Linked DNA regions of Stegostoma tigrinum. The protein of the gene in region 2 purifies or fractionates together with the protein of the main gene of each other region. This does not show direct contact. Links are inferred from orthologs where the notes say so. Each region holds a gene or a part of one and is shown on either strand. Other genes may lie near its edges.

Region 1 (9,397 bases), on a different chromosome or scaffold from region 2:
TAGTCATCATCGTATGAAGAAAACTCTGGAGAGAAGGATAACTCTCATATGTGGGAGCTTCATTGTCAACCGGTAAAAATGACTCTTTGGATCATTTACTGATCTAGTTCGGTGAGGAACTTCCAGATTTAACCTACCTCAGGTGTTGAGGACACAAGGAAAGAAGTAATAATGTGGAAACAGGCCATTTGGTTTCTTAGTATTTACTGTGCAGTCAAGTAAATAGTCTGGTCATAATGTCGTTTCCAGCATTTGTTTTTTATTTTTGTATCCAGCTATTAGTCTAACCTTGAAGGTACGGGCATTTCACCAGACATTAATTTTCTCATCTCAGTGCTTTGTAACTAAATTTATTTTGTTCTTCTAAGTCTGTTGCACTTATACTTATAAACCCTAATTTTAGACAAATCAATCACCCTAAGCAGCCTACATTTATCCCACAGCACTCCAGGCTGAAGTCAGTGAGGGGGAGAATGCCCATGGCCCATACAATTGACATGCAGCAGTTAAATCTTGCAAGAGCATTCATTCTTTCAACCAAAACTCTCCCTGTTTCGGGAGGCCTTCCCGGTTAGTGAGCTGCCAACCACTGTGGTGGATGGGAACAGTGGGCCAGTATTAAGACTATAGGCACTCCCCAATGTTGAGGAACCGATGTTAAGTTGAAGAGTTGAGGATCTTTTATAGGGGACTGTCAACAAACCTGGGGGGACGGAGTGGATGTGGATGTCAGAAAGTCAAGGCAAAATTCAGGCACGTGAATGGGGATTGTGTTTGATGGAGCCTATGAACATGCAGATGTGGTCTTCCCTCGGCTACGTGGCTAAAGTTGTTTGGTTTCTGGTATATATGAGCCTACCCTTCCGCAAGCAAAATACCAGATGAGACAGGGTAAAGCCCTGCAGTGGCCTTCAAACCTGCTAATAGATTGTGTAAACAGTTGCCTAGAGTGAATTCATATTATTATCCTCTTTAAAGTGTCGATAAATTTCCTATTGTGTAGAACTTTATTGGACACTACCACCCACACAAACACAAGCAACAGGCGGGAGTAACCCACTTGTTCTTATCCCCGCTTGCAAGTACCACATTTTTAATTACTTTATTTTTGGACTTTTTAAAAGTACTGTTTTAAGCCACAGAGACTGTGCAAAGCAATGGCTGTGATTTTAAAACTCGTTTACTGGAGTACAATGTGAGTTATATACAATATTGTTTTCCCCTGATTCAAGAGAAAGCAGGCACCACAGAGTCAGAACCAGGATGACAATTGCTTGACAATATTTTGATTGGCTGTTATTGAGGTGGCCTTGGCTCGTGCAGGGACAGGGCAGCAGAGAATCCTCCACCCTGCAAAGAGGTGAAAAGAAATCTGTCTCTCTTGTTCTGGAGGTACCAGAAAGTCTCCAGTAACACTTGCTGCCTTCCATTCAGCTTGCTCTGCAAACCCTCTGTTGAAGGATGAATAAAAATCTATCAAAAAGTGAAAGGGCAAATTCTCGATCTGCAAATGAAAAATCGTATCAGCATGCAAACAACAGTGATTCATCAGCAAAGAAGTAAAATGAATCAGAAGAAACTGAAATAAACAATTCATTCCTTGTGATTTAGACACTATTGAATTGTGTTTCCCTGACATTATTTATCGTTTCCCAGCCTTAAAGCCCATGTTGTCTGTCTGTTTGTGATGGGGATGGGAAATTTAAAACAGCTAGAGTTTACATTAAAGTGTAATAAGTTAGCAATTCACAATTTTAATTTCCCTTGTTTAAAGCCAATTTGTTTATTAATAAACAAGTTTCTTTTGTGAGGTACATAAACCAAGCAAGCGCTTTCTTTTGACTTGCGTTCATCAGTCAGGTAATTTGGGAGCTTTGAATAGTTTGACTGAATCTTTTCATATTTGTAATAAGTCCAGGATTAGTGGGACTTGGTTTGTAGTAGAAGAAGCCAGTCTCTCTCTGAAGTGCATTGACTTGAGAGCTAGGCTACCTCAATACAATTGTACTCTCTCATGCAGAAGAAATCACTGTGCAACTAAGTGAGATAGTTTTTGTTTTCTTAATTCAAGATTTGAATACAAATTTTGAGTGCTATTATACCATGAAGCCACCGGGTCTGAGACCATTTTGGTTCTAATGCTGAAGATGTATACCAAAAGTTTCAGACAAATTTCATTATGGCTATGTTACTGGAATTTATCTAGTCATGTTGCCTAGGCATGTCCTCTGTACAAACAAAGGACAACTCTGACTGGCTGCTACTTTATCCATTTACTTCTCATCAGAAGTGAAGTAATGGTCAGAGTCATCAGATAATGCCAACCCATCAATAGCCTTCTCATCAACACTCAGTTTGCAAAACCAATAGATTCCACACTTAATCACAAAGTCTTAACATGTTGCAGGGATGAGGACAAATATCTTAGTTTCTCCAGCTACTGTGCATACTGTGACATTTAATGTAAAAGCAAACAGGGCATTTTGTATTCTGCCTGTCATGGTCTGCTGTAGGTTGCAGAGAGACATCGATAAGCTGCAGAGCTGGGCTGAGAGGTGGCAAATGGAGTTTAATGCAGACAAATGTGAGGTGATGCACTTTGGTAGGAGTAACCGGAAGGCAAAGTACAGGGCTAATGGTAAGATTCTGAGTAGTGTAGATGAGCACAGAGATCTCAGTGTCCATGTGCAGAGATCCTTGAAAGTTGCCACCCAGGTTGACAGGGCTGTTAAGAAGGCATACAGTGTTTTAGCTTTTATTAATAGAGGGATTGAATTCCGGAACCAAGAGGTTATGCTGCAGCTGTACAAAACTCTGGTGCGGCCGCATTTGTGGAGTATTGTGTACAGTTCTGGTCACTATTATAAGAAGGATGTGGAAGCTTTGGAAAGGGCGCAGAGGAGATTTACTAGGATGTTGCCTGGTATGGAGGGCAGGTCTTACGAGGAAAGGCTGAGTGACTTGAGGCTGTTTTCGTTAGAGAGAAGAAGGTTGAGAGGTGACTTAATTAAAACATATAAAATAATCAGGGATTAGATAGGGTGGATAGGGAGAGCCTTTTTCCTAGGATGGTGACGGCGAGCACGAGGGGGCATAGCTTTAAATTGAGGGGTGAAAGATATAGGACAGATGTCAGAGGTAATTTCTTTACTCAGAGAGTAGTAAGGGAATGGAACACTTTGCCTGCAACAGTAGTAGATTCGCCAACTTTAGGTACATTTAAGTCGTCATTGGACAAGCATATGGACGTACATGGAATAGTGTAGGTTAGATGGGCTTGAGATCGGTATGACAGGTCAGCGCAACATCGAGGGCCAAAGGGCCTGTACTGTGCTGTAATGTTCTATGTTCTATGGTCTTAAGACATTTCAATTTGCTTTATAGACAAAACTGTAATGGCGAAGCGCAATCTCAGTTGTACTGTAGGAGATGTAGGTTAATGATTTCAAAATATTTCCACAGTTGTTTACATAGAATCATTTTTATAACATTTTTATTTCATGTTGATAGTGCTGTTAAGAAGGCTTACGGTGTGTTAGGTTTTATTGGTAGAGGGATTGAGTTCCGGAACCATGATGTCATGCTGCAACTGTACAAAATGTTAGTGCAGCCTCACCTGGAATATTGCATGCAGTTCTGTTTGCCCAATTACAGGAAAGATGTGGAAGCATTGGAAAAGGTGCAGAGGAGATTTACCAGGATGTTGCCTGGTCTGGAGCAAAGGCCTTATGAAGAAAGGCTGAGGGACTTGGGTCTGTTCTCATTGGAGAGAAGAAGGCTAAGAGGCGATTTAATAGAGACATACAAGATGATCAGAGGATTAGATAGGGTGGACAGTGAGAGTCTTTTTCCGAGTTTGATGACATCAGCTTGTACGAGGGGGCATAGCTACAAATTGAGGGGTGATACATATAAGACAAATGTCAGAGGCAGGTTCTTTACTCAGAGAGTGGTAAGGGCGTGGAACGCCCTGCTTGCCAATATAGTTAACTCAGCCACATTAGGGGCATTTAAACAGTCCTTGGATAGGCATATGGATGATGATGGGATAAGCGTAGGGGGATGGGCTTAGATTAGCTCACAGGTCAGCGCAACATCGAGGGCCAAAGGGCCTGTTCTGCACTGTATTGTTCTATGTTCTATGTAACATCGGGAACACCTTATACCTTCTTGTGCATTCCAGCTTTAGTCTCCCCAAAGTATGCTGGTTAAGTTCATGGGCTGCAATAACTACTTTCAGCGAGATTTTCACTTCTCTTCAAATGAGGTTAGAGTATCTACTCCCAGGTTGTGTACCCACTCATGTGACACTAACATGCACTATGTCACATCATATATGTTTCAGATGTTAACCTCATCCATCTCAACTACAGAAAGTTTTGAGATGATGGGAACTGCAGATGCTGGAGAATCCAAGATAACAAAATGTGGAGCTGGATGAACACAGCAGGCCAAGCAGCATCTTAGGAGCACAAAAGCTGACGTTTCGGGCCAAAACCCTTCATCAGAGAGCTGAAGGGTCTAGGACCGAAACGTCAGCTTTTGTGCTCCTAAGATGCTGCTTGGCCTGCTGTGTTCATCCAGCTCCACACTTTGTTGTCTTATACAGAAAGTTTCTCCAATTTTCCCTTAAACATAAGTTTACATTTCTATGCTGCATCAACAGAAAATGAGTATTGGGAAGATTCACAACTTTGTGGGAGAGGGGAGCCAGTGACTGACAACAGGGACTCATTTGGAGCTGGAGTTGGGTTTTGAGTCAAGAGAGTTCTTTTTTATTTATTTGTTTATTTGTGAGTTTTGGGTAGTATATTTCTGCCCGTCCTGGCTTACAATAATTCAATTTAATTATTTACCAACCTAGTCTTTTAGCATACAGTACAGTTGTCAGAAAAAAGTAAACTGAAAGCTGTCACTCAGCACTCCAAGTATAATTGTAGATTGAGTTCTAATAGCATCAAATTTTTTTCTTGTGTTACTGTCAAAGACCTAGGGCTGTCTTATTAGATTTGCTGTTATTTCACTGTTGTCGTGCCGTGAATGCCACTAACTTAGTCAAAAATGCAGAATAAAATCACGCAACAGCAGGAAGGCAGCAAGATCCAAAAGAGGTGACTGCCTTGATTCTAAATGCCATCTGCCTGGTCTTCACTGGACAGGGGGAGTTTGGTTTGTTCGAGTTCCTTAAATTCCCATGTATTATCAAAACATAAAACTTGAATTTGTTTAGTGATGGTTGCACTGACACTTCAATTTAATTTTAAGCTTCTCTTCCCAAATGAATTGTGTGAGATTTTGGGATGGGGACGTTTGTCGTGATGTTGTGACTCAGATAACTGGAATGGAACCAAAATTAGTCCTCAATTTTAAATAGCGTTTATGCAAAAAGCAACACTGTTGAGTTAGTATTTTACATGCGTTCCCTGTGTAGTAACAGGTATATACAGCGTTCGTTAGTTATTGGTGAATTGAGTTAGATTGACCGAGACCTCAGTACATAAGCGCAGCAACTCCAACAGAACACGGTTACACGCCCGTGATGGACAGCTCAGGTCACGTGGGGCGGTGCCCGCCGTGTCACATGACCCGGCTCAAGATGGCAGCGCACCTCAGTTACGGAAGAGTGGTTCTTAACAACTTGCGAGAGGCGGCCCGCAAGGAGCTGCGCGAATTTCTGGATAAATGTGAAGGCAGCAAGGTCTGGGGGGGGGGGAGGATTTAGAGTGCTCGATACTCGCGGGAGCAGTCCGATTCCTGAAAACTCAGTTCTCCGGACCCCTCCCCCTCGGGATAAAGGATAGGTCGGCCCTGTCCAAAATTGAACCCTTCCCGGAGAGGAGGATAGCTCCCTTGGCCCATCTCAACTCCCGGCGTAGGGGGCCCTTCCAAGCATTAACTGCTCTGGGGCAAGGTGGTCCTTTCCAAAATTAACCCCCGAAACCCTGGGGGGAAGAGGACCACCCCAATCCATCTCGGCCCCTGTAATCTTTAGGGGCAAGTGAACCTGTTGCAATATTGAAACCCTCGATCCTGTGTCAATTAATCCTGAGAAATCTGTTAACAGTCTGCTTTATTATGAGAATACTGAACTGAACAATTGCTCAACTTTAGGAAGATGGGTGTGCAACGTTCATGGTGGACACCTATTCATGGAGTAATTAATTTTTCCTAATGTTTTTAAGGATTCTGTTTTTATGAAGCGTTATTGATTTTTTTTTTGACAGAGCACCGTTTTTCTTGTTACGGTTTCCGTTCTTCAGGAAATGAATTTGTAATGTTGTCAAACAGTTGTATTCTTGATCTTTCTTCCCTCCTAAATAAATCCACAAAACAGTTTATATCATAAGCTGATTTATTGGTTGAGTCAGCTTCCTCAAATGTGAAGTAAATAAAAATGCATGATATACATTTGTCACAAGACTAAAATTGACTTTCTCAGAAGTAGAATTAAGAAATTAAGATGCCTTAAAACAAGATTCTGTGTTTGCATTCTTTCACAAAATTTTACTCAATCCTAATGTTTTTGTATATTTCTTTCGTACCACACCACTAGGTTGATCTGTTGATTCTTTTAGCCCTTAGTTTGAAACTTGTGCCTTTTCCCTTCCTTCCTGCTGCCATCCCCATATTTAAAAAGAAGCCAAGTTGGAACCTAAGGTGTAAATGGGAAATATCACTTGATGTAGGAAGAAAAGCAAAGTTATTGCTCCAACTTGCATGGCTGTATGTGTAATAAGTAGAGCATGCTAAAGAAATAGTAGGCTTTAGACCAGTAGCATGGGGAAGTCTATGTTAGGTTGGAAGGCAGGACTGGTAAAGGACATGCAATAATGGTACAAACAGAAGTGAGTGTTAGCGGGACAGTAAATAAGTACAATATGAGATGATGGAGCTGTATATGTCAACAGCAAAACCAATACAGCATCTTCCTAAAAAAATTATGGAGTTGTGCTTATGATATGAAATCATTGAACTCGGGTATTGAATTTAGAAAATTGTAAAGCTGTGAACTGAAAGATGAGAAGCATTGGAACTTTATAGGACAGTATTGGTGGTCCAGGATTGGAAGTTCAAAGTGGGAGGTTTAAAAATGGCAAATGACTGAAAGCTCATGGTGAGGTTTGTAGATTGAATGGAATTTATTGGCAGTCATCTGTTTTTGTATGATTTTTGTTTTGCCATGACATTTCTGCTGTGCTAAAGTTCCAGTATCTGTAAATTGATTTTTTTTTTGTTTTTCTCTAGTTACTGTGTTGCAACACGATATGTTCATTTATGTCACAATGACTTGTTATTAATTTAGTCATGCTCACATTACTTCAGAGCAGCAATAAATTTTGTCAATGGTTCAATTTTAACTGACATCTTTACACCTACAAAGATGATGGATATATTTGTGAAATCTTCGTAAAGTGCTCACCTGATGGGTGGTGTCTGGTTCATTGAATATAGCACTATAAGCTTTCTAAGCCTAAAGAGTCTTTATGTTTTAGTTCAAAAGTGTGAGCAAAGTCATATGGTTTAATATTTAGTATTGCATTATCTCTTTTCCTTTATGCCACTTTCTTAAAATTCTGTTTATTTTGAGTCACAGTTAATCTTTACTGTATTGAATATCAGAACAACCTGTTAACTTTATCTCTTCAGGTAGATAAAAATCTAGTGTAAACACACTTTTTTTGTCTCATCTGATGTTACTTTTAACAAATGTGGCATAATACCTCTTTGTTCAGACAGTAATTATTTTTCTGCAACTGCACGTTAGAATGCTTTCAAATAGTTCAGAAAACAAAGGAGCTGAAATAAGAAATGACACAACGACCCCTTAAGATGTCTCTTTGCTTTTTTGGTTGTTGAGTGGTCTATCACTGTTCTGAAAATCTGGAACATTTCCTGCTACAAGATTCCAAAAATTAGCTTAATGAAGAAGGATGCTGGAACATAGTACAATATGGTATTTTTTGGTATTCTTAAAATATAGTTGTTTCCTTGTGCTTCTCATTCTTTAAACTGGAAATAATGATGAAATAGTTTTTGTGAGAATCATGTGTAAATTGTACAGTTGCCTTATTTGACCTCCTATCCTTAGACTATAAAACTTTGCAATTGTACCAGATGCCCTAGTGTGCAAAGGACAAGAACTCAACATTTTTATCCTGATTTCAGAGGTGTAATGGTCAAAACATTTTTGATACTTCATAATTTTAAACCAAGGCTAATTCACAGTGTTCTTTCAGGGAAAGAATCCTGCTGTCTTAACCTGATCTGGCCTATATCTTAGTCCAGTACTACACCATTGTGGTTAACTTTTCAATGTCCTTTCAAAATGGTCTAGAAAAGCACTTTTTTTTTCATATCACATTCCAAATCGCCTAAGGATGAGCAATAAATGTAAATCTTGCCAGCAATGCCCACGTCCTAATGTCCTGAAATTTTTCAAAATAGGAATGAGTTTACACTTTAAATGTCTGTTTTCTCTACTTCCTAAGTTACTGATAGCTGAATATTGTTGGAGGTGGTTTATCTCAATGCTCCAAGTGAAGGTACAAGACCATTTGAGAATACTGGACCTTGTGACTTTCTGGCATTTGGTTAGCTGTCTGTTTTTCTCACATAGGCAATAGTTTGGGATGAGTATCTTACTGGACCATTTGGATTGATTGCTCAATATTCCCTATTAAAGGTAAATGACTGCTCGTTTGTTTGCTACATTTTGGGCAATTTGAATGACCAATATTGCTATGTCTTTTAAAGTTTTGGCAAAGATCTGTAGCTTGGGTTATGGATGAGGTTGTTGACTTGCTTACCTGGCTAGCTTGTTTTTTGTTCAGACATTTCTCAACATGCTCAGTGACATCATCAGTGGACCCTCCAGTGAGGTGATGTTATTGTACTCCACTCGGAATTTATACAGTCTGGTCCGTTATGATGAGTATTGTCATTTCTGGTTTTGATCTATGTGGGGCCCAATGAAGTAGGAGTGCAGAACCATGTCTCTAGGAATTCCTGTGCGTGGCTATGTTTGGCTTGTGACAAAGTAACCCAAAGTACAGAATTGGACCCCATATACAAACCCATACAGATCAAAACCAACAATGACACTACTCACCATGATGGTGAGTGCTGTATAAATTCAGCAGAGTAGAACACCACTTCACCAGAGACTCCACTGATGATGTCACCTAGCATGGTGACGAAATGTCTGATCAAAATCGAACCGGTGAGCGAGAAAACACCCTCATTGATATGTTTAATGCTAAGAAATAAAATTACATTTTCTTGACTTATTTTCCAAAGAAAATTCATTATCGAGGTAGTTGATTGAGATTGGAAGCTAACCTGTCTTCACTCTATAATATAAGTTTTGCATAGATGACATGTTTTCTACAAAATAAAC
Region 2 (9,289 bases):
TAGAAAAAGTGAAGCTTATAAAACCCTAATGTCAATGTGTAGATTCCATTAAACCCATTCTCCCTAGCCAGCACTTTACACCAGCAGCATCTCCCAACCCCAGATCCTTTATATACACACACAGAGCAGCATGTCACCTCTTGGAGAAGCAAAATGAAGCTAATACAGAATTCATTGCTACATTCCAAAATTGGCACAGAATCCCTTTTTATAATTCGTTATGTATTTGTTTGACGATGGAAATATTAAAATAAGCTGGGAGTGAGAAAGGAGTTGGATTAGTCCAACTGGCTCATATGAAAGAAAAAAAATGACAAATTTAAAGCTCAATAGTCTAATTCTGTTCTGGAACATTCAAGGACTCTATGTTTGATAGAAAGAGCGGTCATAAAAATTCTTCATTTACAGGACACTTCATGTCAGACAATAAACGCAAAACATCTTGGATATTTTGGTGAAAACTATGAGATTCGGAAGTATAGTTTCTGTTAAATTAAGTAACTTAACTCCTCAAAGAGGAAATATATACAATCATGATACAGTCCAATGATAAAAATAAAAAAATTCACATCACATCTGCAGAACCCATGATTTGACACAAACATGACACGGTGGAGGTGGTTTGGGAGATTTAATGTTGAAATAAGAGATATTTCGAACCAAGAGGAATTGCCTGTAAAATATCACAATTATTTACACATTTTTAAAACAGCACATGCCTAAAACTAAGGCTGCAACTGTCACAGAAATTTCGAGAGACAGATTTCCCGAGACAGATTTCCCAGGTGATTAACAAAGTTGTGTTGTGGAACTTGCTGACTTTAGCAATTTATAAAATGGTGACATATTTGGCAAATTAGGCCAGACATTCACATTGCAAATACAACCAGGGATTACTTACATAGCCAAAGATTTTATTAGTTGAGTTGAGATTTGATGACAGGTCAGAAGACCAAAAATATTAACTCAAATTCTCAGCTCATTGATACTGCTGTCCTATTAGATAAATGAATTCAGAAAATTCTGGACGTAGTCAACTGATACTGACATAAACCATATCAGCGCTAAAAGAGAAAGCTCTATAATGTGTTACTATAACATCTTATTTCTGCAATTAAACACATTTTATATAATTACACAATGGCTGTACCAAATTGAGGAGCACTTATAATTTGGTTTGCCTAGTAAAGAAGAAATATAGTTGAATGGCACCTTGAAATATAGTAAATGTAGCATCCACTTTCTTGCAAACTTTATAATGAGCCAAATAAAAACTGAAAGAACTGTGTATGCTGGAAATCAGAAACAAAAACCGAACTGCCTTTCTAGCAGGTTTTGTTTTTCAAATTCCAAATCATGCATTTAATGCCTCGAATGTAGTATCACTTCTCATAAGAGGTTAAAGTGGGTGGTCTGTTTGAGCCTTAGGCAAGGGCTTGGATGGCTGATCTTTATGTTGACACATTGAGTTTTAATTTTGGCTAGAAACAAAACCTTTACATGACACTGTAAAAGTTTCATATTGACAAGATTCCTACTCCCAAAAGATTGTTTAATGCATGATAAACATTAATAAAAAAACAGCCCTCACATGATCCAATTCAAACCTATCCTTGTAGGATATTAGACATAATGGGAACTGCAGATGCTGGAGAATCCGAGTCTGAAGGGTCTAGGCCCGAACCGTCAGCTTTTGTGCTCCTAAGATGCTGCTTGGCCTGCTGTGTTCAACCAGCTCCACAGCTTGTTATCCCTATAGGATATTAACTCCATCTTCACAACAGCCTAAACAGTTTCCTCATCAAAAAGAGATCAGTGTCTTGGCCTCAGTTGCTTATAGAAGCTTGATTATCCTCAAACTAAATACCTCAATATCTACTGTAAATATGTTCTTCAGAAGTCCTGAATCCTCTGGCCTCTTAGCTTGCTGTCCTGGTACATAGAGTCATACAGCATGGAAACTGATCCTTCAGTCCAACTTATCCATGCTGACCAGGTTCCCGAAACTCAACTAGCCCCATTTGCCACTGTTTGGTCCATATCCCTTTAAATCTTTCCTATTCATGTCTCTGTCTTTTAAATGTTGTAATTATACCCACCTCTAACACTAGCATCTCGTTCCAAATACAGATCACCCTCAGGTCCCTTTTAAATATTTCCCCCTCGCCTTATATTTATGCCCTCTAGTTTTGGACTCCCCTACCCTTGGAAAAAACTCCAGCTATTCCTCTTATCTATGGCCTCATAATTTTATATATCTCAAAAGGTCACCCCTCATCCTCCAACACTCCAGGGGAAAATAGTCTCAGCCTCTCCTTATAACCCAAACACTGCAGTATCAGCAACATCCTTGTAAATCTTTCCTGCACCTTTCATAGTTTAACAACATCCTTCCTGTAGGAGGGCGACCAGAATTGTATGAATCAGAAAGGATTATTGCATGTTTGCTCCTTCTAGTTCATTGATTACCTACATGGGTCACCAGGCTTTTAAACATTCATTGAAATTCGACAGCATGTTGTGTACCTCTGAATTCACTCCCTAATCCAAACAAATCTGCTAGGTTAGGAAAAGAGGACATTCTGGACATTCTTGAGTACCAGCAATCTACTGGAAAACTGTTTCTCAGTCAGGCGGCAATGTGACTTCAAAAAAAAATCATTTGAATAAACATTCCCATTTAATAGTAGAACACTTCATAGTCTGTACAAAATTCAAACAGAAGGAACCAGCCATCCCCACCCCCTGCTTCATTAAACGATTGTCGGTGGCAGATGTCCCACTTTTACATTTACATGTCCCCCTTGTTGCACAAAAAAACCATGCGCTTCAAAGCAGCATGATCAAATTAAATGCAATTCAGCCATCAGAAGATTCAGCGGAAAACAGCTGACCAAAGGCAGATTGAGAAGAAAACAGACGTAAAGAGGTGGAAAAGTTTAAGGAAGAGGCTGCAAAGTATTGGGCCTTGGTGGCTGAAGGCAAGGCTGCCAATAATGCAGCAACTAAAATCGGAAATGAATAAGAGATTAACAGCAGAGGGGCATCATAGAACATAGAACAGTACAGCACAGAACATGCCCTTCGTCCCACAATGTTGTGCCGACCATTGATCCTCACGTATGCACCCTCAAATTTCTGTGACCATATGCAGGTCCAGCAGTCTCTTAAGCCACGAGATATAGCAGGGACACTAATATTAGACAGCTATGAAACTTCAGCTCAGCCCTGAGCACATTCACTAAACAATCCTTGAAAGAACAGTGTAGCAACAATGTGCACTCTTACACTTGCTTTCGAATATGTATTTGTTGAAGCGAAGGCAATCCCTGCACATTGCATATTTAGAAATGACAATAAGAACAGACTGAAGCGGAAAGCTCAACGAAACCAGTCCTTCAGTAATGTTGTGGGATTTTAGACAGAGACATAGACAACTCCCACAATCTGACAATATCCTGAGGACGATAGGGAGTACAGCTCGGCTCATGCTCACTGTCACTCCTCTGAGAAGCTGCCCCATGAAAATACACAGAGTGGCCATTAACACGGAGATCCCCTACCCTCCTGTATTTACCCGCTCCACTTCCGCCATGTTGCTCCGAGCTCCCAGGGTCCTGTCAGGACTGAGGGAGACCGGCAGACAGCGCCTGCGCGGCGGCTGCCGCCGAGGCCGCTGGGAGTTGTAGTCCAGTTTGGCAAAGCCTGTCAGAGAGGACGGAGGGGTTTAAAGAGACTTGGTTCCGAATTCGGGACGTTTCTCTTCCCTTGCGCTCTGTAATGTTGAAGTTCAGTCACCAGAGAACATCCCCAATATCCACTTCACTCACTGAATATTCGACAGGACAGCCCAAAGACATCATCCTGCAATTTGAGTGCGTACCTATTATTTCCTAATCTCTTTTCTATCTTCTGCCTTATTCCCTATCCTCTGAATAGGTATGTTGTCAATTTTATGTGCCTCAGAGTTATGTAAAGATAACACACGATTTTCAATGTGTGCAAGAGGTTTGATTTACAGAGCTTCATGTTTGTTCCATGCTTACAGCTCAAGCTTTTGACAACTTACGGCAGCTTTGTTCATCTTCTGGATCTGCATCCAGGCTTGACTAATCAAGCACAATGAACATTAATAGAAGACAGATTCTTCACCAAATGCAAAACAATTGATTACTGTGGGCACTTTCAATTCCATTCACTCTTATTTGTGTTAACAGTCTCACATGTGAAACCTTATCAACGGTCTTCTGGAAATCTGCACGAATAGTTATAGACTCCCTTATCTATCACTTTAGTTAGGTTCTCAGAGTCTTGACAATGTTCGCTATACTTGCTGTCATCAAGTCTCTGCTGACTCCGTTAGTTCATATTTGTTTCTTTGTCCATTGTGTCTTGATCTGAATGGATTCAAAATTCTCGCTTGCCCAATTACCAATGAGCCATCCCTTCAGTCTCAGAGTTTATATTGATTCCTCGTCCAGCAGTGCTTTGATTTTAAAATTCTCATCCATCCCTACAAGTCTCTGAGTGCTTAATATTCATCCAACTGTAATCATCTGTGCATCTCCATTTTTAGTGCCACCACCAGTTGTGCCTTTAAGTATCCAAGTCTTAAACTCTGGAATTCCAACTGTCAACCTCTCCATTAGGGTAACTAACTTTTACACACTAGACTAAAAACATTTGGCATCTGATGGTCTGAGTTTATATGTGCTGCAGAACCTGTAAAAGTTGGCAGTTGATGAGAGTCCTTTTCTGTCAGAAATGGGGGAATTTATAATGGGGAACAGAGAAATGGCTGACCAGCAAAGTTCATACTTCGTTTCTGTTTTCACTAAAGAGAACACAAATAATGTATCGTAAATGATCAGGAGTACGAGATTTAATGAGACAGATGCACTGAAGCATATCTTTATCAGTAGAGAAATGTTGATGGAGAAATTGATGGGATTGAGCAGATTCGATGGGTTGAATGGCCTACTTTTGATCCTACCTTCTAGGTTTTTTCTGAACTTGTCAGAGTGGACCATCACAGTGCATATGTAAGTGGAAGACTTACGGAGGCTACACAAGAGTTAAATCACAAGGTTAGAGGACAACAGCATCCTGGCTAGAGATTGTTTAGAGCTTAGACCTCCAATATAAGATGGTCCTGGAAAATCCAATTCTGAGGAACGGCCACCGGACCCAAACCATTTACTCTGTTTTTTTCATTTGCAGATGCTACCAGACCTGCTGAGCTTTTCCAGCAACTTTGTTATTGTTCATTGAAAACCTGATTCGGTTGGTTACCTGACTGCCACTTCAACACTTCTAGCTCCTTTAAGACATTCTTTAAAATCCAATTATATGACCAAACATTTGGTTAGCTGTATCAAGTCATAATATGTATTATGATCCCTGCTGAAGGTAAAGATGGACAAACCAGATCTCAGAGTGAAACCTGGCTTGTTAGAATGTCAGTTTTACTTCTGTAGTTTGGCTACTGTGGCGATCACTTATTGATACGAGCAAGGCTGAAATGTCCATCTAAAAAAGGTAAAAATGTTTATCATACAAAAGGAAAAAAAGTATGAACATGTGATAATTTAGAAAATCTATCATAAACAGCAAAAATACAAAAATTCAACTGTTTCCCAGCGATATCTTTTACAGCCATGTAAACCCTTGAATTATAATTACTATGTTAACTCTTTAACTTGAATCATTCTTTCCAGTTCTGCTCCTTGGACTGCTAAAGCAATTAAAGACTTCTTTCTAGCTGCGATGGCTCAGATGTTTCCTTCTGATTCTAACAACTTAGAGATTTCTACCAACTCTCACAGCTTGGAGACTGATTCAAACTAACCTCTCATAGTCTAGAGATTTCTATAAAACAACCAGTACTCCATTTGGGAAATTTTTCTTCTGAACTCGACTAATAAATGGACTCTGGTCATCTGTTTTTCAGTATGTCATACAAGTTCAACTTTGTAAACATTCAGCAATTGATTTCCCGGGTAGCTGATTGAGTCAATTAATTTCAGTCACATGCTTTCTTGGAAAAAAAATCTTTAGTTCACTGCTCAAATTGATTTTCAGACCTTTATTAAAGAAAAGACCCAAAAAAATGTTTTTAGCTTCTTGAGCAGCACTTATTCAGTTGAGTGGAGAGTGTTCTAGATATTATGTAATCAGCCTTTTCAGAGATGTTACTACACACCTCTAAGGCATTTGAGACTTCAACTTGGCCTCCTGGCTCAGAAGTACACATACTACCACTGCATCACAAGAGATGTTTTTAAAACAACCGCTTCAGTCATGTTATGATACACCTCTGAAACAGGTATCCCTTAAACCCCAGTCTTCTGTCTTAAAGTTAGGGACACTACTACTGCACAACAACAGCCCCCATGGAAAGTATCCTATCATATGGCTGACTTGTACCTTGTAGATGATTGATAGACATTGGGGAGAGAGAAAATGAGTTACTTTCTGCAGGATTCCTAATCTCTGATTTGCTGTTGTAATTCCTGTATTTATATGGTTCGTTCAGTTTATTTTCTCATCTATGATAACAACTGGAATACTGTTCGGAGGGGATTCGGCTACACTAATGCCATTGAGAGTCATGGAGAGATAGTTAGATTCTCTGCTGTTGGAATTAGTCATTGCCTGGCACTTGTGTAAAGTGGACAATGCTTATCACTTCTTGCATTCAGTTGTTTTACATTCAGGCATGGACATCTACAGTACCTGAAGAGTTGCTAATGATGCTGAACATTTTGCAATCTTCAATATACAACCTTCCCTCTGACTTTATGATGGAAGGAAAGCCATTGAAAATGAAGCTGAAAATGATGGGTTAAGCATCTGTCAAGCCTACCATTGAGAAGAACAAGGGAGCAGAAAAATGGATACACCACCATCTTCCAAGTTCCCCTGCAGGCTACTTCAGACTAGGAAAGATACTGCCGATACTTTCGTGTCATTGGGTCAAAATCCTGGAACTCTCTCCTTCCAGCACTTTGGACCTCCACCAAATGGACTGTAGCAGCCCATGAAGGCAGCTCACCACTATCTTCTTGAAGGAACCCAGGATGGGCAATAAATGTTGGCCCAGCCAGGGCAGCCCATGTCAGATAAATGAATAAAAAATAAGTAAGTTACCACTCTGAGCAACACCTGCAATGTTCTGCTCAAAGGCTATAACAACCATTTTTATTTGTGCTGGTTATGACTCCAGTCTGTGTGTGGTTCTCTTCCTGATTCCTATTCATTTAAACTTTGCCGGAATTGTTGATGCCCCACTCACACAAATACTGTCTGGATGCCAAGGGCAGTCACATTCATGTCACTTGTTCAATTCAGCTCTTCATCTGTGTTTCAACCGAGACTAATGATGTCAGGATCTGAGAGGAATTAGTGGAGGCTAAAAGGATATTGACAGTGTTGGTTCTTGCTTTGCAAGTGCTGTTTGCTGCTACCATTGATGACACTTTCTATCCCTTTGCTGATGATCAAGAACAGACTGATAGGGTTGTAATTGACTGGGTTAGGTTTGTTCTGATTTTTGAGGACATTATAATTCTGGGTAATTTTCCTTATTGTCAGGATGATGCCATTGTTGCAACTGCACTAGATTAAACTGATTAGTTATGTGGCTAATTATAGAGTACAAGTCTTTGGTATTACTGTCAATACCTGGAGCCTTCGCTACATGTTGTACCTTCAGCCATTGCTGATAGCAAGTTTGGGAATGCAAGAAGCATGTGTGTGTATAGATGTGGTTTTTGAATGTGCATCTGAGTGTGTCAAATATTCCTTAGTCTGTTAGTAAATCTGTTAGTGCATGGGTGTTCATGCATGTGAGGATGTGTAGAAATGTAAAGGTGTGCTTGGCTGTATATCAAAGTGGAAGCATTTTGGGTTTCTCAGACTGTATTTTGGTATGACAGTGCAAAGGTGTCTATGAAAGTGCTTATATATGTGCTGTGTATGTGTGTTGGGGTGTATGAGTGTGATGTGCATGAGAACATGATATGTGCCAGTTGTGTTGAAGTGTGAAGGTGCGGGTTTGGGTGTGTGACTGTGTGATTTGTGTATGATTGTGAGTGTGAACATGTGAGTATGAGGGTGTGCATTTGTGTGTAAGTGTGCATAACTGCCACAAAGTATCTTGTACATTCACTGGCAAAATATGTGCTCCAATATCCGTGATCTCTTCCAGTGAACATCCTCAGGATGGGGCATTAGTTTTGATCAACCAGCTGTATTGGACAGGCCATGTTGCCTGCATGTCTGACAGAAGACTTCCAAAGCAATCTCCTAACTCAAAACCTCATCACAGCAAACAATTACTAAGTGAGCAGATGAAAAGCTTTGAAGGCATCCTCAAATTCAACTGAAAAATGCAATGTCCCCAACAACACAGGAATCTCTAACTTAAGACCAAGTTGGAGAAGATTCATCCATAAACGAGCTTACTTACCGTCGGGGAGACAATGGCTAAATGCTATTATTATGAGACTGTCAATCCAGAGACCCAGGTAATGTTCTGGATGCCTGGGCTCGAATCCCACCACAGCAGGTGGTGGAATTTGAATTCAGTTAATATCTGGAATTAAGAGCCTAGGATATCTGTAAATCCATTGCCAATTGTTGGAAAAACGCAACTGGCTCATTAATGTCCTTAACGGAAGGAAACTGCCATCCTTACCTGGTCTGGCCTACATGTGACTCCAGACCCTCAGCAATGTGGTTGACTCTTAACTGTTTTCTGGGCAATTAGGGATGGGCAATAAATGCTGCCTGCTCAGCGAAGCCCTTATCCCGTGAATGAATAAAGGGGAAAAAAAATTGAGACTCTTTGAGGGGAGTAGATAAAGATCAAGCACAAACAGTGGAAGGAATGCAACAAAACCTGAACAATCTGTCTCTGGCATGGATGTGATAAGGGGAACTGCAGATGCTGGAGAATCCAAGATAATAAAATGTGAGGCTGGATGAACACAGCAGGCCCAGCAGCATCTCAGGAGCACAAAAGCTGACGTTTCGGGCCTAGACCCTTCATCAGAGCTGATGAAGGGTCTAGGCGCGAAACGTCAGCTTTTGTGCTCCTGAGATGCTGCTGGGCCTGCTGTGTTCATCCAGCCTCACATTTTATTGTCTCTGGCATGGTTTGTGTCTCTAGCATTGGGCTGTTTAGTCACCTCCAAACCCAAAACACCACAATGGAGTGGAGTCATAATTGATCCTATGGGACTGCCTCAGAAAACAGAGGAGAATCAGAAATGATATAAGTGTGAGA

Evidence for each region.
Region 1: the proteins of vps41 (region 2) and vps33a purify together in Homo sapiens (affinity purification with mass spectrometry; 5 studies listed by BioGRID and IntAct, counting the BioPlex papers as one, with this or other methods). This does not show direct contact. The link is inferred for Stegostoma tigrinum from reciprocal best matches to the Homo sapiens genes VPS41 and VPS33A.

What each region holds. Positions count from the first base shown.
Region 1 is NC_081379.1:25,835,206-25,844,602, reverse strand, and holds the start of vps33a (vacuolar protein sorting-associated protein 33A), read left to right. Parts: upstream 1-5,581; coding exon 5,582-5,698; intron 5,699-8,617; coding exon 8,618-8,683; intron 8,684-9,397.
Region 2 is NC_081358.1:10,708,014-10,717,302, reverse strand, and holds the start of vps41 (vacuolar protein sorting-associated protein 41 homolog), read right to left. Parts: upstream 3,651-9,289; 5' UTR 3,596-3,650; coding exon 3,578-3,595; intron 1-3,577. UniProt on the Homo sapiens protein: Plays a role in vesicle-mediated protein trafficking to lysosomal compartments including the endocytic membrane transport and autophagic pathways. Acts as a component of the HOPS endosomal tethering complex.